4 linked regions of the Alligator mississippiensis genome follow. The main gene of each other region encodes a partner of the protein of the gene in region 4 in a complex. Links are inferred from orthologs where the notes say so. Each region holds a gene or a part of one and is shown on either strand. Other genes may lie near its edges. The genes, in order: SLC7A8, SLC7A10, SLC7A11 and SLC3A2.

The links.
Region 1: the proteins of SLC3A2 (region 4) and SLC7A8 are in contact, whole or in part, in a cryo-EM structure (PDB 7CMI), measured with the Homo sapiens proteins. The link is inferred for Alligator mississippiensis from reciprocal best matches to the Homo sapiens genes SLC3A2 and SLC7A8. Residues at the interface, in NP_002385.3 of Homo sapiens: Thr162, Gly163, Leu164, Ser165, Lys166, Glu167, Leu170, Ala173, Gly174, Trp178, Arg182, Leu185, Phe189, Trp190, Trp193, Met196, Leu197, Gly199, Ala200, Ile203, Ile204, Ala207, Arg209, Cys210, Arg211, Leu213, Lys532, Arg534, Asp558, Gln559; in NP_036376.2 of Homo sapiens: Leu147, Leu150, Phe151, Pro152, Thr153, Cys154, Phe155, Pro157, Ser159, Gly160, Leu163, Leu164, Ala166, Ile167, Leu170, Leu171, Trp174, Gln294, Ser352, Met356, Val359, Glu481, Thr484, Leu485, Gln488, Lys489, Met490, Cys491, Val492, Val493.
Region 2: the proteins of SLC3A2 (region 4) and SLC7A10 are in contact, whole or in part, in a cryo-EM structure (PDB 8WNT), measured with the Homo sapiens proteins. The link is inferred for Alligator mississippiensis from reciprocal best matches to the Homo sapiens genes SLC3A2 and SLC7A10. Residues at the interface, in NP_002385.3 of Homo sapiens: Phe161, Thr162, Gly163, Leu164, Lys166, Leu169, Leu170, Val172, Ala173, Trp178, Arg182, Leu186, Phe189, Trp190, Trp193, Met196, Leu197, Ala200, Ile203, Ile204, Ala207, Pro208, Arg209, Cys210, Arg211, Glu212, Leu213, Arg534; in NP_062823.1 of Homo sapiens: Leu147, Val150, Phe151, Asn153, Cys154, Pro157, Ala160, Val163, Leu164, Met166, Ala167, Met170, Leu171, Trp174, Ser352, Val359, Glu481, Thr484, His485, Trp486, Gln488, Glu489, Leu490, Phe492, Val493, Val494, Tyr495, Gln497.
Region 3: the proteins of SLC3A2 (region 4) and SLC7A11 are in contact, whole or in part, in a cryo-EM structure (PDB 7P9V), measured with the Homo sapiens proteins. The link is inferred for Alligator mississippiensis from reciprocal best matches to the Homo sapiens genes SLC3A2 and SLC7A11. Residues at the interface, in NP_002385.3 of Homo sapiens: Glu167, Leu170, Ala173, Trp178, Thr181, Arg182, Phe189, Trp190, Trp193, Met196, Leu197, Gly199, Ala200, Ile203, Ile204, Ala207, Arg209, Cys210, Glu212, Leu213, Lys299, Arg534, Gln559; in NP_055146.1 of Homo sapiens: Leu151, Phe154, Phe155, Ile156, Gln157, Cys158, Glu159, Pro161, Leu163, Ala164, Leu167, Ile168, Ala170, Val171, Thr174, Val175, Val178, Gln217, Gln219, Val360, His373, Thr487, Gln489, Ile490, Ile491, Glu493, Val494, Val495.

The regions. Positions count from the first base shown.
Region 1 is NC_081830.1:7,398,121-7,404,968, reverse strand, and holds the start of SLC7A8 (large neutral amino acids transporter small subunit 2), read left to right. Parts: upstream 1-3,830; 5' UTR 3,831-5,577; coding exon 5,578-5,704; intron 5,705-6,848. Other genes in the region: RNF212B (RING finger protein 212B), read right to left, coding at 1,118-1,217. UniProt on the Homo sapiens protein: Associates with SLC3A2 to form a functional heterodimeric complex that translocates small and large neutral amino acids with broad specificity and a stoichiometry of 1:1.
Region 2 is NC_081833.1:60,547,972-60,555,034, reverse strand, and holds the start of SLC7A10 (asc-type amino acid transporter 1), read left to right. Parts: upstream 1-4,054; 5' UTR 4,055-4,119; coding exon 4,120-4,273; intron 4,274-7,063. UniProt on the Homo sapiens protein: Associates with SLC3A2/4F2hc to form a functional heterodimeric complex that translocates small neutral L- and D-amino acids across the plasma membrane. Preferentially mediates exchange transport, but can also operate via facilitated diffusion.
Region 3 is NC_081825.1:106,127,172-106,134,827, forward strand, and holds the start of SLC7A11 (cystine/glutamate transporter), read left to right. Parts: upstream 1-4,649; 5' UTR 4,650-5,100; coding exon 5,101-5,377; intron 5,378-7,656. UniProt on the Homo sapiens protein: Heterodimer with SLC3A2, that functions as an antiporter by mediating the exchange of extracellular anionic L-cystine and intracellular L-glutamate across the cellular plasma membrane.
Region 4 is NC_081838.1:4,476,134-4,482,980, reverse strand, and holds the start of SLC3A2 (amino acid transporter heavy chain SLC3A2), read left to right. Parts: upstream 1-3,847; coding exon 3,848-3,956; intron 3,957-4,299; coding exon 4,300-4,719; intron 4,720-5,914; coding exon 5,915-6,088; intron 6,089-6,290; coding exon 6,291-6,391; intron 6,392-6,746; coding exon 6,747-6,815; intron 6,816-6,847. UniProt on the Homo sapiens protein: Acts as a chaperone that facilitates biogenesis and trafficking of functional transporters heterodimers to the plasma membrane.

The sequences.
Region 1 (6,848 bases), on a different chromosome or scaffold from region 4:
TATGTCTCCATCAGAGGGTGTTATATGGATTTAACTATATGGGGATATTTAAAGCAGTTTCTGTATGTAGGAACACACTCCGTTAGACTTCTCTTCTCCCTTGCTTTGTAAAAAAAAAAAAAAAAAAAGAGGCTGAAAGATAAAAATCAAAGGAGAAACAAATATCTCTCTCCCTCATTTTCTTTTTTCTTTTTGTCCTCCCTGGAAAAAAAAATAGTTTAACATATTGATTTCCCTCACTTCCATTACATGTTTCCAATAAAAAACACTGCAGAGGATATGGGGAAAACATGGAGAAAACTTGTATTTTAGCATTTTAAAAGCTATTTTCACTGCTTTCCATTAGAAAAATGTACATGTAATACACTTTTGCAGACTCCCCACCTTCCCCACCACCATAGTCTCCCAGTGTGAAAAGTTAAAATAAATAAGCACAGTAATAAAATGTAAAGAGGTGTATTTCCTCCATTTTCTGTCACTTTTTATTCAGAAGATAAAGTTAGCATGTGCAAAATGGTATTCTTCCCCCTCACTTTAGCTTTCTTTTTAACAATGTCCTTCCTTTTTCTAATGGGAAAATAGTAAAAGAAGAAAAACATTGAAAGAAATTGGGATTCTGTCCTCCACATCTCATTTCTAAATTACAATTGTAAAAAATATTCTCTTCCAAATTCATCAGAAAACTCTTTAGGGAAAGGTTAATTTTCAAAGGGAAAAAAGTCCCAGGGAAGTTTCTTTGTCCTTTAGACTTATTGAAAACTGACTCTTTTAGACTAAATAATTTAGTTTTTGAAGGATTTTTTTCCTTGAAAATATTTCAAGTGATCCAAGTGTTGTTAGAGTCCTATGGAGGAGCACCATGCCCTTCTCCAGGGGTGGGCAATTATTTTGGGCGGAGGGCTGCTTACTGAGTTTTAGCAAGCCATCGAGGGCCGCACGGCAGGCAGCCAGGGGCAGATAAATATTAATTTTCTACATTTTTAGGGGCCCCATGGGCTGGATAAAATGGCCTGGAGGGCTGCATCTGGCCCACAGGCCACATTTTGCCCACCTCTGCCCTACTCTCTTACTCCAGGCCTTCAGGCTAGGAGCTGTATCAAAATGATCTTACGCTCACCACAGCCAGTGCACTTCCTGCAGAAAATGTGTCCACAGCTGGTGATGGAGAACTCTGCCCCATTTTGATGAAAGCATTGGTTGCAGTGGAACCAGTCCATGCTGTGAGGAGATGGACAAAGGAGGAGTTACTGCCACAAGGGCCCAGGTTGGGGGTGAGAGATGGATAATCCAGGAGACAGAGATACTGTTAGAGATGGAGGGAGGGATGTTCAGCTAGATGGATGGTGAGATGGAGGGAAGTGGCTAGATGGATATTCAGACGTACTTGGTGGTGGACAGGATATGTCTGTATGTGGAAGATGAGTGGATACAATTATCAAATATTACTTATGTGTTAATTATAAGCATTGCTGTTTTATATTAGCTATCTTTTTATGCATTACAGTTCATTACTTGATGGTGGCCTATTGACTGCAAATGTTATCAATGACTTGCTAGCTTATTTATAGGTCCACAGCGTAGCCTTCTAACTTTAGAATATGAATTAGCCAGGGTTAGATAATAAAATCTGTTGCTCCTATTTTTATTTTAAATATTATTGTTAGCAATGGCTATCCATTAATTATGTTGATAATTCATTTTTGCTATTTAATTTTGTTGCATTGGTAATTTATTAATTTTTGACTGATTTGTATTAGTTTGTCATTATGCTTCACCTATTATGTATTTAGCAATGCTTAGGGGTTATATACTGATTAGACTCCACTACTAGTTTATTGTTTTTGCTTATTTATCAGGTGTGGTGCTGCATTGATTCACTATCTATTTAATATTTGTAGGTCATTTAATCATAGGCTATTTATTTATGGCCATTCCTGATGATCTGTAAGGTCCCTTCCAGCCTCTAACATCAAAACTATGAAGCTATGAACTCTGATTAATTGGCTAATTATTAAATAACGTGCTTTTTCATGAGGTTACTTTTTATGAGCTTGTAATGATTAGGAAGGGTCAATTGATCATCATCAGCTCTGAATTGCATCAGTACATTAGAATTGCGGAGTCTTGATAAACACTGACCTATTATTTATTTTACTCTGGGTAATTTATTGATACAATTTTGTAATTGGAGATGACTAGCCATTAGTAGACCACTATTTTCATATATTCATCAGCCACCTCTGGCTTATAAATCATGTAATCCGTTAGGAGTCATAGGTTATTCAAAATCTCTGACCCATTCATATATTAATTACACCAAGCGTTATCTCAAATGCATAGAAATGATGGGAGATTAATTTGGTATGGATTAACACTGATTGAAGAGGGGTGAGGACTATTTGTATTCAATAATGTAAAAACTATCAATTATTAATTAGGTTTTTATTACATGTAATTTACATTATTCATCAGTTAATTGAACCTCACAGGTTATCAGAGATTAATTGAACCCCACAGGTTATTCTGTCCATGGTCATACATTTAATTTGCAAATGTATGACCATGGATGGAATATAAATCATATTAGTTATGGAAGAGTAACATGTATTGATAGGTTATTATTGTTAGATTATCTATGGTTTCAGTATATTCCGAAAAATAGGTGACTGGCTAGGAAAGTGCTATTATTCATTAATGGGCAAGTATCTATATGCTAGGTCACTGTTAGCCATTATATTAATTATCCATAAACTATTAATTGAAGGGGTTAGGGATCGATGGGATGTTTTTTCAGGTATATTTTACTTATCCATGGGTTATTGGTAGGATGTTAAGCTAATGGTTCTTATTAGGAATGATTGACTATTGATAGCTTGTTTGTTAATAATATATGTAGTCAAGAGATTAATTGTATTAACTAGAGGTGATAGGTTATTGATGGGCACTTGATGCATTAAATAGTAACTAGGGATGGCTGTTGCCTTTCCATGGCCAGTTGCTCATTCTTGTATTAATGCTCATTGGTACTGTAATTTGTCGGAGGAAGCTGGTTATTCATGGGCCGTGATTTATCAGTGTATTAATTACTCCAGGGCACTAAATTAGGGCTTAATTGTTGGCTACTAAGGACCCCTCAGTCCATTCCCTGGGCTCAGCGGGTGTTAATTAGTGGGATGGGGGCTAATGAGCTGTGGGAATGAGGGGCCCCTCCCCAACCCTGGCACCTCAGGGCACGAGGCTGGGAGTGACAGTTGGAAAAGGGCGGGAAAAGACCAAGAGCCGTGGCGGGGGGAGGGGCTGGGGCAGGGGCGGGGTAATTAAGGGAAGGGGCTGGGGTAAAAGGGAGGGGTTTGGGGGCAGTTAGGGGAGGGGCTTTGGGGGAGTTATGGGGCAGGGCTTGGGCAGGGGGGAGGGATTTGGGGGCAGTTAGGAAAAGGGGTTTGGGCAGGAGGGAGGGGCAGTTAGGGGGAGGTGCTGGGGCAGGAGGGGGAGGGGCTGACGGCATGGGCTTGGGGTAGTTAGGGGAAGCAACTAGGGGCAGGAAAGAGTATGGGGGTAACGGGGAGAGAGTTTGGGGCAAACAAGGTAGTGGGGGTGCAGGAGGGGGAGGGGCAGTTAGGGGGAGGACCTGGGGCAGGAGGGAGAGGCTCTGGGGCAAGGAAGGGGCTGGGGGCAGGTCTGAGTGTAGGGAGAAGGGGGCAGTCTGGGGCAGGTGTAGGGGTGCTGGGGCAGGGAAGCTGGGTGCCATTGGCTGCCCCATGGCAGGGGGATTTGAGGGGGCAGGGAAATAGCCCACAGGCTGCTCCTGTGGATCGCTGGAGTCTTGGCCTGGGGCACAGCGCTGGTTGGGGGGCAGGGGGTCTCTGCACCCTCCTTCCCTCCGAGCTGTCTCCCACTTTCAGCCAGCTGGGGGGGGAGGAATGGGACAGTGATTTCCCCTTGTTTCTCTGGAGCCGTGAGCAGCCCGGGTGGGCAGAGGAATGCCCCCCCTTCCTCAGATTAGGTGGGGAGCACTCTGTGCCTCAGCAAGCGCACCCAGCTTTTCCTTCTCCAGTCTGGACATCTCCATCCAAGCGACCTGTCTGTCTGTCCCAGTCTCCATCTGTCCCCTCCCCCTCTCTGCTCTATCCCCAAGGCCTCTGTCCTCGCTTCCCCTTGCTCAGCACATCGTCCTCCGCCCACTGGGGTGAAAGTCCGGGCTGGGCCCCGTTATCAGCTTCTGAGCAGGGTGAAGTGGGGGCGAAGGTCCTGATGGGAAGGAGGGATGATAGCCAAGGAGGGCCGATGGCCAAGGAGGCAGTGCAGGGGGATGGGCGAGCAGGTGGCCAGCAGCTCCTCCAGAGCCTGGGCCCACACCCCAGAGATGGAGAGGGGATGAATGGGGGGCTGGGGATGTGGGGATGTATGTGTGATGTATTTAGCCTGTGGCACCCAGGACCATAGTGTTACCCACCAGCCCTGGACCCCCAGAGCAGACAGACTCCCCACTGCCAGATCTGGCCAGGGAGCCGGAGCTGAGGGGCTGGCTTGCCCTCTGTCCATCTGTCCCGTTCATTCCACCTCTCTTTCCCTCTATCTCCTTCTTGTTTTCTTCTCCGTGTTCCTGGCTGTGGGCTGGGTAGGGGAGGAGTCTGCCAGCTTCTCATGGGAGGGAGCCGGTGTGTTAAGTGGGAGCGAGGGAGTGAGAAAGAGGGCCACAGAGGAAGAGAAGGTACCCACGCCTGCTTGCCTGTCCGTAGGCAGGCTTGGGCACAGATTTGTGGGTGGACTGCTGGCCTGGCTGCCAGTAGGAGCGAGCAGAGGGAGCCAGAAGGAGGGAGCAAGAAAACCACGGAGGGGAGAGAGAGCACTCAGCCGGAACAGAGGAAGGAGAAAATCCACGAGGGACGAGTACAAGGCATCTGATCCAAGGATCCCCCTTGGAAGGAAGGAGAGTGACAATCCTAAGTGGAGGGAGAGCAAGAAAACTCTGAGGGGGAAAGTAGGAGCAAAGCGGGGGGTCGGGGGGGGGGGCGGAGAAAATACCCCCGGGGAAGAGAAAATACTCTGCTAGAAGAAGGGAACAAGAAAATCCCACAGGGAGGAGTGTGGGGCAGGGGACTGCCTGAGGAGCACAGAGCCAGAGAGCACAGCAAGGGAAGGAAAGGAGGAAACGGAGCGAGATTAAACCGGTCTGGAGTTTCGACGCAGTTCCCTCTCCCCTCCTCCGCTGGGGGCAACTTCACAGAAGAGGGGAACGAGTAAACAAGTTGGAGGGACGAGTGTACAGATTGGAGACCAGGAAGGGAGAAGGGGCTGACTCCGAACCAGCCGGCTCAGCACCAGGGCACCAGGGGATTAGACCAGAGCACCTAGGACTTGGGCTGGCTGGAAGGATTGGTCCACGGGTGCAAGCCAGCCTGAGCCGGACTGATTCTATTGACCCAGTGCTAAGACCCGAGAGGCAGAGCCCTGCCAGGGTCTGAGGCCCAGAGCCCAGAAGCTGCCCCCGAGTCCAGAACCAACGAGCCGAAGCAGCCCCAGTGTCCCACAAGCCTCAGCACTGCTCAGCCCCAGTGTGGTCCAGGTCCACCCACCATGGAGGATGGGGCACGGCGCCGAAGCGGTTCCGAGAAAGGCCCAGATGGGCCAGAGGAGCCTGCAGGGGATGCTGTAGCCCTCAAGAAGGAGATTGGTCTGGTCAGCGCCTGTGGCATCATTGTGGGTGAGTTGGGGGCCATGGGGACCCCACAAAAGGGCCCCTGGGTCCGCCTGCCTGGCTAGACCTCCCCCCTTCTCCCCACTTTTTCTCTCCTTTCCTCCTATCCCTCCATCTTTTTCCTCCATCTCTCTCTTCTCCCCCTCCCTCATTCCCTCTCTTTGCTTGCCTCTATAAATAGCCCTGAGCTGTCACCTTGGTTTCCCCGATCCGATTAGAGCTGGATCCCCCCTCCCCTGCTTGCCACTGCTCCACACGGTCCCAGTGCCGCCATGCCCCTCACCCCAACCAGTATGAACAGCCCCAGTGCAGCCCACCCCAGAGCCAGCTGAACTGGAGACCTCCCTGGCTTTGTAGAAGTAACTCTGTGCCATGTGCTCCACCCCAGAGCTAGCTGTATCTTGGCCCCCCCTGCTCTTATCCCAGTACAACCAGCCACACAGTGTCCCACCCCAGAGTTGGTTGCATCTCAGTGCCAGGTATAGGTTCCTCCTTTGCATTCCACCCCAGAGCCAGCTGCATCTCGGCCCTGGACAAAGGGCCTCTGTCTAACCAACCCCACAAAGCATCCCACCCTGGAGTTGGCTGCATCTCAGTGCAGGGTCAAGGACCCTGCTATAAACAGCTCTTTCCCCCTGACCTGCACCCCAGAGTCAGCCACATCTCAGCCCTGGGGCAAGGGGTCCTTGTCCAAACAGCCAGGCAGGCTGAGATGGAGTGTCTGGGTTTTCCGCTCGGATGCAAGCAGAGCCCTGGAGCGTGAATGAACCTCAGCTCCCTTAATCCGGCTCCAGATGGCCCCGCTCAGCAGGTGCCAGGGAACGCCGGTGGGTGGGGGGGCCAGGGGGCACCAAGAGCTAGACAGAGCCCCCTGCTCCCTCCCTCGGTGCCATGCAGTGCCCTATCCCCCAATCCTGTTGGTGCCCCTCACTCCTAGCCCATCCCCCCACACCCTACCAGTCCCCCTCACTCCTGACCTGGAGTCTCCTGCCCCTCCACCCCTATGCCTTTTGCCCCAGAGGTCGGAGTCCCTCTCCAGAGCCCTGTTTATTAGGAAGACGTGGTAACCCTGATAAGATGGCAGGGAAAGGGCCCTCTGCCAAGCTCCCTTGCCCTGGGATGTCCCCTCTAGGGGGTGCCAGGCCCCTCA
Region 2 (7,063 bases), on a different chromosome or scaffold from region 4:
AATGTACCCCACACAGATGAGTAGTGCCTTACACCAGGAATTTAAAAAAAAAAGCACAACAGGCACTTTAATATCCTGTAATATATTAGAACAACAGGCCCCACTATACACAAAGCAGCACGTGCGTTAGCAACACATTACTCACTGTGGCATGGAGGTAAATGAACAATGGCACCCCAATGGCCCCCATGACCCAGCAACCCTACTGCTTTCTGGTAGCACATATCCACTAAGGAGCTCCTAAGGGTCTAGGATCCACTCTGTGTGAAAATATTTGCCTCAAACTTCAGAGGTGCTGTGCAGGACACAACAAAGCACAATATCATATGTATGGACTTTGCAACATTTGCCATCCAAATGAGTTTGTAGGGGATGGCTTGCCTTCTTTTGACCTTTCAAATATGCACTGTAGCACCATGCTGCAGATAAGAATGTGACTGCATTTTCTGTGCAGCAGCACAGCGTCTACACACTGTCTTCTAAGACATGGCAGGAGAGGACAGCTGGGTCCTCCTAAAGAGCGAACACCTTGATAGAAGTAACTTGGAGCCCCAGGCTCCAAGGCTGTTCAAGCATGTAAATGCTATCTACTGAGAACCCTGCTGTACTGCTTCCGGCTGGTGTTTCCTACATTGGTATATGTGGATTGCCTCTGTGGTCCACAAAGCCCTGAAAACTAGTGAAGCTCTTGCTTCTATTAACTTATTCACTGGCTCTTTCAGGGAGGTAACAAATAGTCCCAGCACAACTTGAGAATCCCATCCTCTGTCATCCAGACATTATTTTGGGCATACTCAAAACCTGCCAGAAACTTTCAGGCTAGCATTGCAAACTTTCACCCCCCTCACCAGGCTGACAGGTGATTTGTCAACACCCAGTTGGTTAGCCAGAGACCTTTAGCAGCCCTAGGTATTCATTTTTCAGGCAGAGATAACAATCTACCTCTGCACCAGGGTGGTCTCCTTCAGCAATATACAGTGGCACCTAAAGGTTACGGCAAGTTTTACACCCAGACCAAAGAATACCTTGCTTCCTCACATGGACATCCTGGAGCCACTGCTAGCTATTCCATGTTTATGCACTTTGCATGATCACACCACACCATGCTACTTCCTCTGCCTCAGAAATGCCAGCATGCAGATGGGGATAATGCAACAACCATCACCTCTCTTTTATGCTTCTTTTATGTCCTCTGCATCCAGCCCGGAAGACCCTAGCATCTCCCTGAACAACTCCACCTCACACAGCTGGGCAAGAACCATGAGATCCATTGCTCTAAACACTGCTACACACACAGAGCTGAGTATTGTGCTAAGCTAACAAACCTTTATGTGCTGGCAAACTAAAATAACTCCTGCCCTTAGCACCATTATGGAAACACAAACTGTCCCACAGTAACATTCCTAGAAGGGCTCTACTCCATGCAGCACTACAAAACCCAGTGGAGCACACATAGTATAGACTCAGGAACATGAACTGGGCACAAAACAGTGTGAATGAGGGAAAGATAGCTTGCCTGACTTGCACTTGCAAGCTACATAGCAGTGCATGCAGGTGGACTTATCTTCAGCCCCGTTCCCTTCCTTGTTAGTAAAAAACACTGTGAATTAATTTGGGCTTTTACTGACTGACATTGTCAGTACCACATTTGAAGAAGGTTATCTACCAAACACATTAAACCTCACAATATTCCAGCCAACACCAAAGGAGACACCTTGAGCCCTATGATCTTGCCAACTAATTTCCCATTCTTGAACAAGATCATCAAAACACACATATAAAACCATCTCCAGCTATCCCCAGCGAATTTACCAGACCCCTCTGAGTCAGGCTTCTGGCTAGAACATCGCATTGGTCCCAATAATGCATAACCTCCATAACGGACTGTAATGGAAGACCCTCACCATTGCATTACCAGAACTCTTCTGGGACTTGACACCATCAGCCATCTAACCCTAATTTGTCACATTACACAAATAGCCAAGATTAAGAGAAATGCACCAATTTTTTCAATCCTCCTTTTCAAGTCAGGCCCAGAGAATAATGCTGGAAGCCTGCTCCACTATGGCCAAACTATTTGTTTCTGCTAACATTATTCAATAAGAAAAGGCCTCCGCAAGAGAAGGTTCTTCAGCCTCCACAAGAGAAGGTTGAGAGGCGACCTTGTGGCTGCCTATAAGTTCATCATGGGGGCACAGAAGGGAATTGGTGAGGTTTTATTCACCAAGGCACCCCCAGGGGTTACAAGAAATAATGGCCACAAGCTAGCAGAGAGCAAATTTAGACTGGACATTAGGAAGAACTTCTTCACAGTTAGAGTGGCCAAGGTCTGGAACGGGCTCCCAAGGGAGGTGGTGCTCTCCCCTACCCTGGAGGTCTTCAAGAGGAGGTTAGATAGGCATCTGGCTGGAGTCATCTGAACCCAGCACTCTTTCCTGCCTATGCAGGGGGTCAGACTCGATGATCTATTGAGATCCCTTCTGACCCTAGCATCTATGAATCTATGAGTCCCATTACACAAAAACAAACCTAAAAACCTGTTATGATATTCCACATTACCAGAATAAACTACATATATTGATCCTTTGAAGTTTTTGGCAGAGTGCTTCTATGCAAACAGCAAAAGCAGTTTGTTTTTCCCTTTCTTTTCCAATAGTAAGCATTATTGGAGAGACAGCAACATGAAGCTTGAAATAGCCACCCAAGAAATACAACATGAAATATTTAAAGAAGGAAATCCTAATCAAAGCCTGATTTAAAGGCACCCCCAAGGTAAGGCTTAGTGTGCATCATGTGCTGTGACATGGTGCTTACCTGATGCAGCATGCAGAGGTTCTCGGAAGGAAACCCTGCCTTGCCCTGTGTTTAGGAACTTCAGCACCACCACATCCACCCGGTTAGCCTCGGGGATGGGACAGCTCTCCAAGCGCACAGGGACAGCTAAGTGTTGTTTCAACACCATAAGCCGTTCTAGACCAGTACTTCCCAGGGTGGATCCAGGGGGCACACTGGGACACTTGCACCCCCCTCCCCATTTGATTCCTGCTCCAGCCAAGGTTTAAAACCAGCTTCCTGGCCACGGCAGCAGCATTTCAGGCAGTACTGAGGGGGTCCATTGATTTCATGGCTCAGTGTCACCCACCTGATCCCCTCTATACTCTTCATCTGAGAGGTGTTAACAACCCTATCTCCTTTTTAATGATCTTGATGCTCCATCAGTGGAGCCAGCCTTTGTCTACCACACTGCTGTCTGTTCCCTGCTCTCTGCAACCCCGCTACCTCCCAGCCCTGGGGACTCTTTGTCATGCCTTCCAATGAAGTGCTGTTTGTTTCTGCCTGTCTCTTCACCCAAATCATCCCTCGCTGGCCCCTGGTCTGTGACGAAAGCCTCTTGTTTTGTTGGAGCTACAGAGAAACACAGGTGCTGCCCCGCACACCCGCACCCCCTCTGCCAACCCCTAGATCTGCCCCTGAGCGGTTCTCAGCCTCTTCTTAGACCCAGACCCCCCCGGGAAACGCCACCTCTTGCTTTGCACTCCTGGCTTTGACACAAGGGAGCCGTCCTGCTGCGGCACACGGCTCGGCTGCCTTTCTTTTTGACATCTTTGGGCTTCCCCACCTGCGGGTGCCGACACTGCCTGCCCCACCCCGCGCCAGGGTGACCATCGCTGTGACCAGCCCCCAGGACCTGAAGCCAAGGGATCCTCCCTCCCCCCTGCCCCGGCACCTGAACTTGGGCACCTGAAGACTAGGCAGCCCCCTTCCCCAGCCCCTAGGACTTGAACTTGGGGACCTGAAGCCAAGGGATCCTCCCTCCCCCCTGCCCCGGCACCTGAACTTGGGCACCTGAAGACTAGGCAGCCCCCTTCCCCAGCCCCTAGGACTTGAACTTGGGGACCTGAAGCCAAGGGATCCTCCCTCCCCCCTGCCCCGGCACCTGAAGCCCAGGCACCCGAGCCCACTGCCGCGCCCCGCGCTCCCCAGCCCCAGCCCCAGCCCAGTGGCCGCCCCCCTCGCGCGCCGGGCCGGGCCGGGCAGCGCATGCGCCAGCCACTGAGCTCCTGCAGCTGCTGGCGGGCCGGGCGGCAGGGACGGAGAGCTGCGGCGCGCCGGGGAGAGATGGCGGGGGAGGACCAGCCGCAGCCGCAGCCGCAGCCCCTCGGCAAGAGCATCGCCGCCCCCACGCCGCCGCCGGGCCAGGCGGAGGCCGGCGCGGACCGGGTCGCGCTGAAGAAGGAGATCGGGCTGGTCAGCGCCTGTGCCATCATCATAGGTAGGACCAAGAGCGGGCAGGGCAGGGCAGGGCAGGGCAGGGCAGGGCGAGCCGGGCCCGGCCCGTGTGCAGGTGCAGCTCCACGTCCCGCTCCACCCGCCACGCGTGGCCCTAAGGATGCTCATCATAGAGGACAGTCCGGTTTTCTGCTCCTCTGGCCACTCTCGATAGGAGAGCCAATGCCTTTACGGCCCCTGCTTTTCTCAAGAACATTTTTTTCCGGCTTCCTATCAATAGAGGACGGCCGCGCTGCCCCCTATGATGGCCGCAGGCCCCGGCTGAGATTCCCTGGACTCGTCGTGCCCCTGAGGCCCGACATCGGGGTACGCGACGTGTCCCGAGGGCGGCGCGGATCAGCGGGCGAGCTGGCGGGGAGCCCGAGCCTGCTCCGCTCCTTAGAGAAAGGTTGCAATACTAGTAAAGTCCCAAAGTGGCAAGCCGGGACGTCCAGCCTTAGCCACACGACTTCAGGAGCACCTTTTGGTATCAAGCCTGACTTTCCAAGTCGTCTCTCCCTGACAGTCCAGGTTTGGAAGTGTAATGCTCCCAGAGTTAGCTGCCGTGAAGCTCAGCACACGACCCTAGTGTGGTAGAGATGTCTTCCACGTCCTGAGACAGTGCTGTATGAACCCAGCAGAGCGACTTGAATGTTTTCAGTCCTGATGTCCTGGCTGTATTGAAACCCCATTCTGGTTTGTGGTGGAGATTATTTCTCTCCATGCGGGCTAGCTCGTACCTGTTTCCGGAGTTCTTGCATCTTACCATTGCAGTTAGGAGAGGAAACAGCATGCCTCACAGATTTAGAAAGTGAGCCTGCTCCATAAGCCAAAAGTCCACAGTCCTTTCCACCCTTTTTTATGCATAATGCTGCTAGGCTTGAAAGGAAATCATTCACTTTACCAGGATTCCCCCCGCCACACACATTTTACAAAATTATTAACACCACAGCTAGAAGTTACATTAGTATTGGGTTAACAACTCCTGGTGAATTATGAACTATCGTTGAAATCAAGCCAGTCTGAACCTCAGCTACTTGCAGCATTTTCCTTGACCCGTCAGCGTGCTGCACACAAGTCCTGTTGTAGTGCTAAAGTGTAAAAATATCTTTACTACTTTTCCAGTAGTCTATTATTGTTATATGAATTTTCGATTCATTTATCTCAACTCATTTTAGCAACTTGCGTGGTGTGTATTGAATATTAAAGCACCTACATGATAGGCAGTCATTTGTTTCCTTCGATAAGCATATGTAATCCAAATAGATACTAATGAGATTTACATGCTTATATCAATACAGAATCCTACAGTATCCTTAGCGGAATCCTGCAAGCTTTAGTCACATAAATTAAACAGACTGTTCATGATAGGTCTTCAGGACTGGTCTTTTTAAACATAATTTGTGCAGGGTCTCATTCAATTAACCATCTTCATTCTGGGGTGATTTAATTTAATGGCTTGATTCACTACCTATTTTTATTATAGATTTCAAAATACCTCAAATTCTTAATTCACTTGAAAAGTATGTTTGGATGAAGCCTCAAGTATGAAGGCCAAATGAAAATAAATTTGCAACTTCTCTCTCTTTTGGGTAAGATGTAAAAGTTGGGTCCTTACCACCTGTAATTATTAAGGGCCAGTGGCATTAAAAAGTATTAACATTATTTGTGCAAGAGCTAGGCCATCCGACTTGTACCCCAGCCAGGCTCCAGCCCGAGTAATTATATTTTACTTAAACTCCTGATACTGTTCTTATTCATGTCCTGCTCTCAACTCTTGTGTAGTGTTGCTATGTTCTGTTCGACTGCTTCTGTGTCTGCCTCACAATCGGTTGCATTTTAGTGGTAGTGAAGTGACTGCTGTAGACTGTATTAAACTTCTTCTGTTGGACTAGATCAGTAGTTCTCAACATTTTGGCCCTGCAGGCCAGAAGAAAGGTACAGGGCTGGTCTGCAGGTTGGAGTGGACGCTGTGCACTGGGACTGGGTCCTGTACCACCCTTGCATCTGGACTGGGCCCCAGGACCCTGCACTGCCCTTACTTGGCCCCATGCATCAGGATAAAGGCCCTGCACCACTCTGGTCTAGCCACATGTGCTGTGATCAGGACTACAGGGCCCTGTACCAACCCCACATACCAGGATCAGGGCTCTCCTCCTCTGCCCAGCCCCATATACCCAGATTGGGGCCCCACATCACCTCTGCTTTGTCCTAGTGCCAGGATTGAGGCTCCAGGACCCCATGCTGCCTCCACTTAGTCCAGTCTGGGGGATTGGAGCCCATGCTGCCACACATGCCTGTTCTAGCATGCAGGGCAACAGCCTGTAGAGCTCCGTATATACTCATGAGGAGCCCTGCAGGCCGGATGATAGTAGCAGGGGCCAAGCACCCCTGGAGTAAGTAGTTAGACCCATCAGTCACCTACACAAGGAAGTAAAATTAATGCTTACCCTTTATATCTAGCTCAGATTTTGACCTAGCCACATCAAAGTGTGTGTGTGTGGAGCAGTGTCCCATATTTTCTACTGTGAGCAAATAGATAATGGAGAAACTGGTTTCTCCCCTTCCCCACGTTCTCTAAAAAGTCGAAGTGGAATAGCTATGCAGGTGTATCCACACATGCCTGCCTCTTCCAGAGTAAGGGAGGTGGTGGGGGTAATTGTGACTGAGTTATGTCCAATTATTCTGCTCCTGGAGGGGTTACAGCAGCTGTATTACTAACAGCAAAACGCTGCAAAACAGACCATAAGGCTATAGTGTATACATTACTCTGAACCTTGATAAAGTTCCTTGG
Region 3 (7,656 bases), on a different chromosome or scaffold from region 4:
CTTATTTGTGAACATGGTGATTCATAGATCCTAATTTAATATGTAAAGCAGATTAAAAAGTTTGTTCACCATATAGATTAAATATCTTGCTATTTCTTTGTTCTTGAAATCAAGAGGAGCTCATAAGGAGGGTCTAGCACAATGATTCTCACCCAGGGTGCTAAGGCACCTTATGGTATCTTAAGAAACTTTCAAAGGTGCCATGGGGTGTCACACAATGGATACAAATCAGCATTCATTGTACCCAGTCTAGGTCAAGGCAGCTTGCTTTAAGGCACCCAAAACTAGACCAGGATCAGTATACACAGCAATTTACTGCTCCTGGGAGCCCTACAGGGAACCCATGGGTATTTAGGTTGATCTAACCCTGGTTAGGCTGATCCAAAGGTATTGCCTGCATATACCCAGTATTAGCATGGCTAGGTGTGCAAGCATGATTCACAAGATAAACATACAGATTTCAAATAGAAATTCATGGTTTCAAAAACATTCTGATTGTTTTAGTCTTTCTGAGTTCTTTGCAACTGAAGAATTGTTCTGTTTAATTTTCCTGTAGTCAAAAATCTACTGAAAACTAAGAGCTGGCATTTTCTAAGGGATGTCTTAAGTCTAATAAGGGGTGCCGTGTATCCAAAAGGGTTGAGAACCATTGGTCTAGCAGGGTCACATGCTAATTCAGTTATCTGCAAATTTTAGGCAAAAACCTATAGAGAATTCATTAGGCTTACTCTTGATTAAGAATTTTGTTTGGCATAAAAAAGATAAATGTTTCATGACATGGTGATAGTAAGGTTCAGAAGGAGGAAACCATTTTACATTGTTTATCTAGTTTATGTATTAAAACTTTTGGTCAGGAAATGAACCTGACACTGCATAGAAAATATAGCATAGAAAATACGACAATGCTGTGCATCTTTCCAATTGCTTGCAGAGGTGAAATCTTATTTTCTTTTCTGTGGGAGAGCTTCCTGTTGCTCTAAAATATTTTCAGCATCCTGAAGGAGATATTGCCTTAAAAAATTAAAATTGTAGGTCTAACAGAGTATGTTTTCAGTAGTGAACAAGTTAAGCTTCAGGTGGCCTGAAGACTTCCCTAGGGAATATGGCTGTGTACTGTGCTGTGTTTTTTTTTACTAATGCCATAATCCTGCATTAACTTGGAACAATTTAAATTAAAACTACCAGTGAAAGTAACTCCTTGTGGTCACATCTGACTCAGGATAGATTGGGTAAGCATGACATTGATTGTGAGATCTTAAGGTGTCTGTCACTGTTTCCTTCTTGTCTTGGAAATAGACTTAGATGGCAGAGAAGTCACAACTAATTTGCCAAAAAGACTAATTTTGTTCTGGTCTTTAAAAGTGCCCCAGGGTTGTTTACTCCTTTCTGTGCAGAATTTGGGATGTTGATGACACAAATGATTACTTTTTATTGTAAGAGCCCAAATGTCAAGCGGCTAACTTTTGCCATGGTCTCACAGCCACAGGATTTGGTACAGCAGTAGCTAAGGGCTGCACAGGAAAGCACTGCAAGAAAAGAAGTGTGCCTTACCTATAATTCTCTCCCTATTCCCTTCTTGCTCCAGGGGGTAGCAATTCACAGCAGTTCTGTACTAGTTGTAAACTACTCCTCCCTGTGCCAGCTCAGCATTGCTGATAGCGTGCTGAAAGAAGCAGTCAGGGCTCCACCCATCAGTAAATGGATGTGCAGCTGCCCTTATCCATGCATGCCCAAACCTGAGATTTGGATAGCCTATTGGGACTTCAGGACCAACGGAGCTTTCTTTGCAGGCCACTTCCTCCAAATTAGTCTTGCCTCAAGCAAGGCAGACCAGTGAGAAAATGTGAAGCTACAGATGTAATAACTGACTGTATGTTAAGTAGTAGGTGTTAATCAGAGATTAGTGAGGAAGCAAGAGAAGACGACAGAAAGGTTCAATGTCAAGAACTAAGCCTTTCCTTAATTTAGCTGATTTGTTTCTATTACTTAACAACCCTGCTGTTCAAAATTGAATGTGACTGTTCTGACTTTGTTGAGTAGAATTATAGAAAATGAGGGTTGGAAAGGACCTCAGGAGGTCATCTAGTCCAAATCCTGCTCAGAGCAGGACCCATCCCCAGCTACATTATCTCAGTCAAAGCTTTGTCTAGCCAAGTCTTAAAAACCTCCAAGGAAGGAGATTCCACAACCACTCTGGGTAACCTGTTCCAGTGTTTTATTACCCTCCTCGTGAAAAAATTTTTCCTTATAACTAACCTAAACATCCCTTGCTGAAACTTGAGACCATTGCTCCTTCTTCTGTCATCTGCCACCACTGAGAACAGTCGGGCTTCATCCTCTGTGTAACCACCCTTCAGGTAGTTGAAGGCTGCTATTAAAGTAGCTATTGTTACTTATTTGTATTGCAGGACCCTTCAAAGTATTGTAGGTTCTACACAGAATTAGGAGAACTCAGAGAGACTCTCAGTCTCAGCTACAGCCAAGAAGGCATGTGAAAACATGACTTTAAATAACTTTACCTCTTTTCTGCTCTTGGTCTAGCACTGATACTAAGTTAGAAAGGCCATAGGCTACTTCAACTAATGCTATGCACCAAGAGTGCCCAAGGGACTCATACAACATTAGGGAAATCATAAGTTAAAGTAAAAGCTGTAAGTGCTATTACTGATAAATCATCCCAAGGTCTAAAGACATATAGAAAATCATAGTTTATGTTTTAATTGAACAGCTTATTGGTTAAATAATGATACATACATACACACACAGAAGTCCATGTGAGTTGCTATCTTCCTAAAAGCAAAGAGGACCTGTGGTCAAATAAATGTGAAGGTTTTTAACTCCTTTGAAAGTTTATACCAAATATTCAAGGCAGAGCTCTGAACTGCTGGGAGCTGCCTTGGAGTTGTCTGGAAGCTTGCTTAATACTTCTTTTGATCTGTAGCTCCTTCCCATTTAATTACCTTCCCATTTAAATAAATGTCAGGCATTGATTAAGGACTATATAAGGGTATATACATAACATATATCCCTGAGACACTGATTAAGGAAGCCCTGCTGCGTGCTTGTGATTCTGCACCTTTAAATTCAGTTTAAGAACATCAGCCCAGGCCAGTGGTTAATAATTTGACCAGGTACCTCACTGGCATGTACCTGAGTGGTATTCAATGTTTTTCAGTAAAAAATTAATTGCTCTTTCACCTAGGCGCAGAGCAGGCACATGGTAGACAGACTAAGGAAGAGGCATAGGCAACTGGTAGAGAGTGCATGGGGGTGCATGTGCCCCCCCTGACGGGGCTGGTGGCCCCCCAACAGCTGACACTGATGCTGTTGGTAGAGCTGGTGTCCCCCCTGACAGGGTCGGTGGCTTTTGCGGGTGGCCCCCCAGATTCAGAATGCACCCATCACCCATGACTAGAGGAGAAATCACAGTATCTGATGGTGGATATGCAAAGAGTATAGAGTAAGAAGTGAAACTTTCTTTAAAACATTGTAACAGTGCAAATAGATGTGCAAAAATGGTGTTTTTTGTGTTTGTACCTCTGTATATTAATACCAGCCAAGGTTTTTATAGATAGTTTTACCACCACACAAATTATTACAGACAAGTCACAACCCCTGAAAATACAGGTCTTTTAAAATATTGATTTGGGTTTTACAACTAGAGTGTTAAGAGTGCAGCTCTACACTGAGTGTATTACTAGGATACACTCAAAGAATAGTGTTGTCTTTTGAAATGCTAAAATGTTCAGCTAATATATTTTTCCATCTTGGAGCTAATTAAGCAATAACTGTAAAGGGAGTATGTGAGGCAATAATAATTTCTCATTGCGCTGATTGAATCTAAAGCTATGAGCAGCTGCGCTACTTAAGTTATGTAAGATTCCCCTCTTTGGCATATAGTACTCTGTACAGTGAGATTATAAAGACTTGAGGGACTATTTTTGTTGTTTTATGAACTGTTTTTGTTTGCGTATTTGTTTTTAACTTTTGGTGTGGTGGTTTGAAAGAAAATAATTCATGTGAGTTAGAAGGACACGAAAGTAAAGAATTTGGAATTTATCAGTTAATCCGCTCAGAAAAACATCATGGTCGCATGCAAATTTCTGTTATCTGAGTCACTGCATTCCCTTTAATGTTCCATCAGATCTGAAAAGAGTTTGTTGTAAATGTTAACAAGAGTTCCTGCAGGGGGATTCTCATCAGTAACTTCCTCGTAAGCATCACAGAAACACTAACGAGAGAATGACTGTATGGAAATAACCTACATTTTTCACTAGTCTGATTTGGATGTGTTGCTAGGCAACATAAGGTAGCAAAAGGGTTATATGTAGTCTCTGTAAATGTGTGTCTGATCTATGTCAATTTTCAGGTAAAGAAAATAGATTTTTAGACAAACTAACTAGACCTAACAAAACACAACAGTTGAAAACCCTGAAGTATACGGTAGTGAAAAGATAGTATTGAAAAAAAGAATTGGAGAAGACCCAAAGATGACGTATCCTGTTTGATTTTTTTGTTTCTGGCTGAAGGGCTTTGTATTTTGAAACAGGCTTTTGTGTCTCACTACTAGTTCTTTTAAATACTTGGGAGTGTGTTTGAATGTGTCGACATTAGTGTACTACTGCCTGATAGGTTAAGGTTCCTTTTAAGTGAGAGCTTTGTTCTTCCTAAATAGCTCAGGTCAGTTGTGCAACATACCCCTACCGTTTAAAAAAAAAAAAGAAAGAAAGAAAGAAAAAAGTGCTGAATAATCCCAGATGGCTGATGCAAACCTGCAGAATTTGCATCATCATTCAGCACGAGTAACTTGGTATGACAGGAGCTTAAATACAAGTCCACGCGGAAGCAGAACTGGTTTCCAATGACAAGGCAGCACCAGCCTGTGCTGGGAGAGTTCAGATGTTAGGGAATAGCATTTAGATTTCAATGAAGAGTAAAAATACACCTTGAATGGTTTACCTGTGTGTAGGAACAGCTTGGAAGGCATTGGAAAGGCACGGAGAGCAATTAACTACTCACAAATAGAGGAAGAAACCTTGAGCGTCTGCCACAAAGTTTTTTTTTAAAGTTTTGTTTGTTTTGAGTGTGCTGATTGCTAGCATGTTTAGGAAACCTGCTGTACCTACAATCACTAATGGAAGCTATGTGCAGGGGCAATCTAATGGCAGGTTGCCTTCTATGGACAGCAAAGAGCCAGTGAGGGAAGAAAAAGTAGTGCTGAAGAAAAAAGTAACTTTGTTGAGAGGCATATCCATTATAATTGGTACTATCATTGGAGCAGGAATCTTCATCTCTCCTAAAGGAATTCTGGAGAACACCGGCAGCGTGGGAATGTCCTTGGTTGTCTGGACAGTGTGTGGTATCCTCTCACTGTTTGGTAAGTTAGTCAAAGTTTATAATTGCTCCTTTGGGACAGCTGGTGAATTCTTCTCTTCTTATTTTTGCTAGTGGATATCAAAGATCAATCTGATGCTTGAGGACCAGTAAGGCTATGGATACTTATTTGCTATTTGATGGGCTCTCTCAATGGTACAGTTGTGTGCAATCAGTATTGCCTCTATCATGAGCATTATGGCATAAAACTCTACTGAAGGGCTGTATGAAGACCCTAGACCAAACAGTGTTTTTAATGCATCCCTAATATATCAGGAGAGGGAAGTATCCATTACTGTATTGTGAAGTGTGGTATATGTTTGATGTTCTTGTTTTAAATGTATGGATTAGTTTACAGCATGCTTGCAAGCTAGAGAGATGGGCTGGTCATTTTGAACACCTGTGAGATGTTTAAACAGCTTTTCTCAGTTCCCTGCTCATCTGATCCAGTTCTAAGATGAATAACTTCTGGACAAAAACAGTTACTGGCAAGAAATTGAATTAAATTAAAACTTTCTGCAACTGTTTGTCACTTCATTTATCAGTTCACGATATTTTATGAAAAACTGCACCCCCAAAATTGAGGAATTTCGAAACAAGCACATATTGTGAACTTTGTCTTCTGGAATGTATCTGGCTACAATATTTGCACATTTTCATTAGTAAAAGTATTAGAACTCCTTATGAATGCCAGTTTATTTGTCTTGTTGTATAAAGAGCTGCATTCACAATGGATATCAGCACCCTTGATTATGTGGAACAGAAGGTCTATTGACCAACTTAATGAGTTAATCGCAAAAAAGCTGAGCAACTGACACAAATATTGGCTTTATTTAAAATCCAGACTACTTGTCTTCTGGCATGTGGTAAAGAGGGAAAACACTAAGTAGCACGTGCCTGCTTAATAGATGGGACATGTGAATTTTGCCCTGGGTAAATTGGCCAGGATCATTGATTGTTTTGAAGAAATACAAAGAATGAAAAAGAATGTTGAAAAATGTTACTGCCCCTTCTCATCAGAGGTTGAATTTATTTAATTACAGGCACAATATAAGACACAACAGTAATTTGCCATCGAACTCTGAAGGTACTGCCTAAGACCCAAACCTTTTTCTTGAAGTAAACACAATTTGGCATCCAGTTATATGCTGGCCTTTAGATAAAACTAGAGACACACCTTGCCTGAACACAGGATATTTGAAATTAACCTTCATAGTTATGTGGTATACGAAGAGTGATTAAATATAGTACATTCTGATTTTTCCCCTCTGCCTTTACATGTTGTGATAAGATGTCATACATTTTTTCACGTCATACACACGTTGTAAAATGTCATACATTCATGTTGTGATAAAATGTCATACATACTATTTTTCATTACCAGTGGTCTTGGTGATGCTCTCTATGAAATACTGATTACAGCATTACAACAGCTTCTTTCAAACTGATTCTGTCTTACAACCTTCCAGATAAATTGGCAAGAAAAAACACATCAACAGGTTTTTCTAAATGTGACTCTCCAATCACTTTAGGTAGAATATCAGTTACGTTCATTAATACCACACAAAGACTTCAGCAGGGCCCCAAATCGAAGCAAGTGCGATATGCATGGAGTTCTTAATAAAAACATGTTTTAATGGCTGTAGAATACATCCCTATCAATGAAAAAAAATGTATATTATGTAGTGCTTTCTCTATTGTTAGACTATATCACATGCATGTATGTATGTGACCAAAAACACTGGGCATACGAGTGGTTTTGAGTGTTGTGCTGCTTTGAAAAATGTGGTTTATACCTTAAAATGCTATAGCATTATTTACTGAGGGACTGCATCCTTGACCACTGCATATATATCACCAATCATAACACTGCAAGCCATGATTTATTAAAACCATATAGTTCTATTGATTCTGTATTCCTGCATGTTACTAAACCATTTATAACGGTATTTATGAGATACACCTCTCCTTAACTGATGTTGTCCACACATGGAGATGAGAACATTTTATCCTCCTGGCTAAAAGACTTTGCTCTTCTGCAAAGTGGCCATGTCTACATGAGATTAATGTGTGTGAATGATTACTGTGCGTTAATTTAATACTTGCATAAAAAGATAATAAATGTGGAGTAACCCAAGTTACTGTACAGTGGTGCTAGTGAATGCCTTCTTTGTGATGCTACTGTGCCTAATACTACTGCGCAATAGTGTTGCATCACACTTTTTGCCATGCAACACTACAGTGCACTAATATTGGGCTACTGCGCAGTCAGGGTCTCATGTA
Region 4 (6,847 bases):
GGAACCACAGGGTGCAACAGGGAGAACATGGGGGGGCAGGATTGGGCCTGGAGCTGCCCCCTCGGGGTCCCCAGCTTGGCCCCCAGGTGGCTCTGGCCCCTGCTGGGCAGGTGGAGTCGGAAGGGTTTGCAGACAGTCAGCTTGGCTGGGGGGCAAAGGGAGGGGCTGTTATACCCACCCTGTGCACCCCCCAGTGCCAGCTGCAGCCTGTTATAACCAGCCCGTGCCCACCCCAGAGCCAGCCACAACTCTCACCTTTCGTCTTCCTCTGCTCCAGTTGCTCCTGAATGTTCCTGTGTAGGGCTGTGAAGTCGGGGACAGACCTGGGTGGGGCAGGGGGTGCCCCCCGTCTCCTCCTGGACCTGGGGGACCGGGGCCACGCCCCCCCTTCGGCCAGGAGATGCTGGGACAGGGAGGCGGGGTGGTGCTGCGGGCAGGAGCTGGGACCCCGGGAGCCTTGCGGGGAGCCTGCCCCCCGATATCCACAACCCTGAGGCCTCCTGCCCCCCCTGTTCCTGCCCCCCTTGAAGGTCTCATCCCCGCCTTTTCTGCCCCTGGCCCCTTGACTCCTGCCCCCCTGGTCCGGCAGCCTGGTGGGAGAGCGGTGTGGGTTTGGGGAGTGGGGTGGGGATAGGAGCAGGCCCCGGCCCCCTGCGGCAGAGGGGTCCCAGAGCCACTGGAAGGGGAAGGAAGGCGGGCGGGCATCTGGCTCAGGGGTGCAGGGGGGGTTGTGGAGAGAGCGGGGGTGCCAGCTGGGGGGAGGGGGGGAAGAGAGAGGGACATGTTGGAATTGAACCCAGGCTTTTGAGTCCCTGGCTCTCACCTCCCAGCCCCACTCCCTTCCCAGACCTGCCTGCCCCCCTGCTCTGACCACCTCTAAAGCCAAAAAGAGCCCAGGCGTCCGGCCCCCCGGCCCCTGTTGCTCTAACCCCGCACCTCCCAGCGCCCCCCCAGCCCCACTTCCTCTCCTAAAGCAGGGAGTGAACCCAGGCGTCCAGGGCCCCCGTCACCTGTCAGGGGCTCGGTCTCTCTTGGGGGGAACCCAGGGTGCCCCCCGCCTCCGTCTCAGCACCAGCCGCCTGTCCCCTGCATCCAGCACCTCCTGGGGGCACAGAGGCAGCAAGTGGGGGGACAGAGAACGCAGGCGCCCGGGCACCCAGCCCCCCCCGGTCTCGCCCCCCAGCCCCCGGGCGTCCGAGCTGGCCTGCGGACCTCATTGCGGGGGTACCCCGCGAGCAGCCCCAGCAGCTGCACGCGCCCCTTCCTCTCGTGGAAGGTGCCAGGCACCCGGGCGCCCGGGTCCCGCGAGGGACGGACGCAGGCCTGGGCGAGGGCCGCCTGGCGGTGCGCCCCCGGCATGGCGGCCCTGTTGCTGCGGTGACGGGGGGGGTTCTAGAAGCCCCCCGCGCCGCTGCGGGTCCCCTCCGGCCAAGGTGGGCTGCAATGGGGGGGCGCGGGCCGGATGCCTGGACATCGCCCCGTCACTGGGGCACCTGCTGGGCTCCCCCTGCCCCGATCGGGGCCAGCGAGGACCCTGGCTGCCCACCCCTCCCCCCCCGCTCCACCCGATCCTGCTGTTTACATCCCTGTTTACACCCGGCGTGGCCCCGGGCCAGCCTGGGGAGGAGGATGCGGGGGAGCGGGGGGAGGAAAAGCTGAGGCTTGGCAGGACACGTCGTCCCCGAGGCCCCAGCCTGGCAGCCGGCCCAGACAGATCAAAACACGCTCCTCCCGAGCTGGGAAAGGGCCCAGGCGTCCGGCCTCACGGTGCCCCTGCTCCCCCCTGCCCCAGGCATCTGGCCCCCAGTGCTGACCCTAGCCCTGCTCCTCTCCCAGACCGGGCCCAGGTGTCCGGGCTCCCAGCCCACCCCCAAGCCCCCGGCGCGACCCGCAGCCCCCGCTGCCCTCCTGGAGCTGGGGTAGACCCGGGGCGGGGGCGCCTCGTGGGGTGGAGGGCAGGGCGCGTCGGGGGGTCCCAGTTGGAGCAGTGACCTCCGCCATAGCTGGGACCCCTCAGTCCCCACGGACCGGTCTGGCAGGCGGCGGGGAGCGACCGGGCTGGGCAGGGCACTGGATGCTACCTGGGCAAAAGAGGGGGGCACATGGGGAAATGAGGGGGTCTGGGGTGTTGTTTGGGGGGTACTGGGTGTTACTGGGACAAGGGCGCTACCGCTAGGGTGGCCATCATAGAGGACAGTCCGGTTTTCTGCTACTCCGCCCTCCATTGATACGAAACCGGATGCCTTAGGTCCTCTTGAAGAGAAAAGCAGAGGACATCAAGGCGTCCGGTTTCGTATCAACGGAGGACAGAGGACAACCGGACTGTCCTCTGTAATGGCCACCCTAGCTACCGCCCATGGCCGGACCAAGATGGCTGCCACGGAGCGTCATGGCTGCCGCAGGCAACTCCCAGATGGTTACCAACAGCTCAGTCGAGAGGGCGCGGGGCACCGTTCCCCACGCGCCATCTTGGTATCGCCAGCATCTTCTCAGCAGCCGTCTTCCTTTAACCTGCGTCACCCTGGCAGCCATCTTGTCACAGCTGCCAGCGGGAGAGGGAACCCCAACATGGCTTGTTAGTTGCGGGGGGTGGCGTTGTCTTTGATGATGGCGATTGGGAGCAATGGAAAGGGAGGACCAAGACGGGGGCCTGAGGGGGAATGGGACCAATATGGTGGCCTGAGCCGGGGGGGGGGGAAGGGGGGTTACGACACCAAAATGGGGCACTGACACCAAGATGGCAGCCGGAGCAGGAGCCATGTGGCACCACAATGGTGGCCCGAATGGGGGGGGAGGGGGCAGCACCAAGATGGCAACCTGAGGTGGGGGCACTGACACCAAGATGGGACCTGAGTGGGGAGGAAGCACCAGCATGGCGGCTGGGGGAGGTGGCACCAAGATGAGAGCATGAAGAAGGGACCTGGCACCAAGATGGCAGCCTGAGCGGGGAGGCGGGAAGGCACCAGCACCAAGATGGCAGCCTGAGGCATGGGGAGCCACGACGGCAGCCTGAGAAGGCATGTGGAGCCAAAATGGCAGCCCGGGGTGGGGAAGCATCCATCTCGTCTCTGCCAGGTGCCAACATGGCGGAGCTGGCTCAGAGCCTCGTGCCAGGCCCGGCCCCCCTCGCCCGGCGCCATGCTGGCTGGCTGTGGGGGTGCGGCCCTGCCTCCAGGGCACCATCTTGCTGCCGCCTGCCCCGTCCTGTGGGGGGGAGGGGGGGAGGAAGGTCGTGGGGGGCTGACGGGAGCTGGGGCGGGGGGCTACGGGGTCTGTAGCGGGGCTCGGGGGGCTGCAGGGGTTGGCTGTGGCTGTGTTTCGCTGAGTCGGGAGCTGGGAGGGGCTGACTCAGCGAATTGCCCCCAGAATTTGGGGCACCTCTGTTCAGACCCCCCATAGCCCCCGGGGGAAAAAATCAGGGCTGGGGGGGGTGCAGCTGGGGGGGGGGGCGGGACCTTGTGACGGCCCCCAGCCCCCGCCCAGGTCCTGCCCTTGATCCCCCCAGGGGTCCCATTCTCTGCCCCCCCCCGCCTTTGATCTCCAACTCTGCTGAGCGCCAGGAAGGAACCCGGCGGCAGAGCTCCCTCCTCCCCTGGCTGTCACCCGCCAGGCAGCCTGGCCGCCAGCTCCAGCTCCAGCTCCACCTCCGGGGCGGGGCGGACCCGGCCGTATAAAGCAGCGCCCCCGCCACCACGTTCCTAGATCATTTGGGAGCTCGGAGATCTGGTACTGGGAGCACTGGGGTGGGCTGGGGCTGCATGCGAGGAAGGGGGCGCCTGGAAGCACAGGGAATGGGGGGGCCTAGTGCTGCCCCCCCCAGCGAGGAAGGGGGTCTTGGCAGGAGCCGATGTTTGGGCCCCCCCACAACACTTCCAGCTCTGGGGGGGCTGCTGGGGTAGAGCGGGGGGGCTGGGGCCCGGACCCCGGCGCTCTCTCTCCCTGCTCTGGGGGGGCTGGTAGGTTGCAGCAGCAGGGAAGGGGGGCCTGAGGGCCCGGACACCTGGGTTCCCTTGCCCCCTGGCTGCCAACGGGTGTACTAGGACCGTGGGAAGGGGTCAGTGGGGTACAAGAGGGGACCCGGATGCCTGGCTTCCCTCCCCTGGGGGGACAAAGTCCACTGGGCAAAAATGGGGGGGGGAAGGGGAGCTGGACGCCTGGGCTCTTCCCCCTGGGGGAGCAGAGTCCAACAGGCTTGGTGGAGGGGGGGCACCCGGACACCCGGGCTCTACCTTTGCCCGGGCCTAGCCTGGCTGCAGGAGGGTGCTATACCTCAATCTCACAGCCTCCCTCTCTCCCCAGTGCCCCCCAGCACCGCCATGGAGGCAGACCTGAAGGACGTGGAGCTGAACGAGCTGGAGCCCGAGAAGCAACCCATGACACCCGCCAGTCCGGGAAGCCCGGAGAAGAACGGGGCCGTGAAGGTGAAGGTGGCTGAGGACGAGGAGGACGAGGGCGCCCCCAAGTTCACAGGGCTCTCCAAGGAGGAGCTGCTGCGGGCAGCCGGCACCCCGGGCTGGGTCCGGGCCCGCTGGGCCCTCCTCATCCTCTTCTGGCTGGGCTGGCTGGGCATGCTGGCGGGCGCCGTGCTCATCATCGTCCAGGCCCCCCGCTGCCGGCCGCTGCCACCCCAGACCTGGTGGCACAAAGGAGGCCTCTACCGCATCCAGCCCATGGAGGCTTTTCGGGACTCGAAGGGTGGCAACGCTGGGGACTTGGCAGGTGAGAGAACCCAGGCATCCGGGGCCTGGCAGCCCTCTGGTCTGAGCCCCAGCTGTCCCCAAGAAACCAGGCGTCCAGGCACCCCCTTCTGTACTGGCCCAGCAGACCCCATTGCCCTCCCCGAGCGGCGAGAGAACCCCGGCGTCCAGGGTAGGGGGCTGGCACCCCCTAATCTGACCCAGCAAGGCTGTGCTGCCTTCCACGAGGGGGGAGAGAAGCCCGGAGCCCGCTTACCCGCTCTGTGCTGACCCAGCAGACCCCACTGCCTTTCCTAAGGGAACCCAGGAGTCCAGGGGCTCCCCGTCTGCCCCAAGGGTGTCCCCGAGCGGGGACAACACCCAGGTCTCCGGACACTCCTGTACGACGGACCCAGCACACCCTATTGCTGTCTGAGTGGCAAAAGAACCTGAGCTCCCAGGCGGGGGCCCCTGACCCACAGCCATCTCCGAGTGGGGAGGGAGTCCAGGGGGACCCCAATACCTGCTCTGCGCTGCCCCACTGGACCCCACTGCCTTCCCTGAGTCGGGGGGGAGAAGCCAGGTGTCCGGGCTCCCCACGTGCTCTCAGCCCCATCTGCTCCCTGAACGGGGAGGGGAGAACCCATGTGTCTGGGGCCCCCAGCGCTGCCCCCCCAGCCCTGCCCCCCCATCTGAAAGAGAACCCGGGTGTCCTGGTTTGGGGGGATAGGGGTGGGCTTCCCAGCCCTGGCCGGCCAGAGCCGGTCTTGGCTGGCGGGTGTTACATCAGCCATGACATCACGTGTTGAGTCAGCACTTCTGGGGTAGTGGGCGGGGAGAGGAGTAAAGGTCGCGTGATTGGGTGTAGGGGGGGGTAAAGGTCACAGGGGGGATCAATTAACTGGGGGCTTTCTAGGGTGGGGGGGTTCAGTTAAGGGGAGAGGTCTGGGGGTCTCAGAGGGGGCTCGGGTTGGGGAGTGGGCGGTGGAGGTCTGAGTGGGAGGGGACCTGGGGGATATGGATGTTGGTGGGCTGGAGGGCGTGGGGGGGGCAGGTATCTCTGTAGGATGGGAGTTCCTAGGAGGTTGGGGGGGGGTCTGGGGAAGGTATGAGGGGGTAGAGGAGGGCTCCGTGCAGCTGGTAAAAAGTCTGGAGGGGGCTCTGGGTGGTTGAGGGTTGTGAGGATCAGGGGACTCTGGGGCTGGGGCGCCGCCCTCCTGACCTCCCATACCCCCCAGGTGTGAAGGAGAAGCTGGATTACGTGGCAGCGCTGGGGGTGCAGGGGCTGGTGCTGGGCCCCCTGCATGACACCAAACGTGACAGCCCCAAGGACACCAACCTGCAGAAACTCCACCCCCAACTGGGCTCCAATGAGACCCTTGCCCAACTGCTCGAGGCTGCCAAGAAGAAAGGTAAGGTGGGAGGGGGGGTCCAGGCCTGAATCCTGGGGCCCCACAAGTGGCTGTGGGGGAGGGGCTTGATACTGGTGGTCCCTGCTGGGGGGGGGGGTGAGAGGCGGGGCCCTGATCCTGGGGAGCCTGGGTGGGGTCATACCCTGGCTGGATGTGGGGGGGCGGTCCGGGGGCCCAGTCCTGACTGTGGATCCCCACCCAGGCCTCAAGGTGATCCTGGACCTGACCCCCAACTACCAGGGGCAGCAGCGCTGGTTTGGCCCTGGCGTCGCTAACAGCACCCAGTTCCAGAAGCAGTTCAAGGTGGGGGGGCAGGGACCAGGGCCTGTGGAAGCAGCTGTCAGCCAGGGGCTGTTTGGTCCCTTGGACTGGACTCCACCACTGGGGGGGCAGGGAATCTTGGGGGGACTCCAGGGGGGTCTGGGAAGTGTGGGGGGCAGGGAAGCTAGGGGGACCCCAGAGCATGTGGGGGAGCTAGGAGACTCCCAGGGGGTGTCTGGGGGGAGAGTGTGGGGTGGGGATTGGGGAAGCTGGGGGGGACCCCCAAGTGCGTCTGAGAGGGGCTGGATAGGGGGTAGAGGCAGCTTGGGGGGGTCTCAGCCATGGTGGAGGTACCAGCTGCTCCCCCCTGACCCATCTCTTCCCTGCCCCCCGGCAGGAGGCAATGACCTTCTGGCTGAATCAGGGCATCTCAGGGTTCCAGCTGGAGGCCGTGGATGAGCTGAATGTGAGTCTGGGGGGATCCTGAGAGTGGGGGAG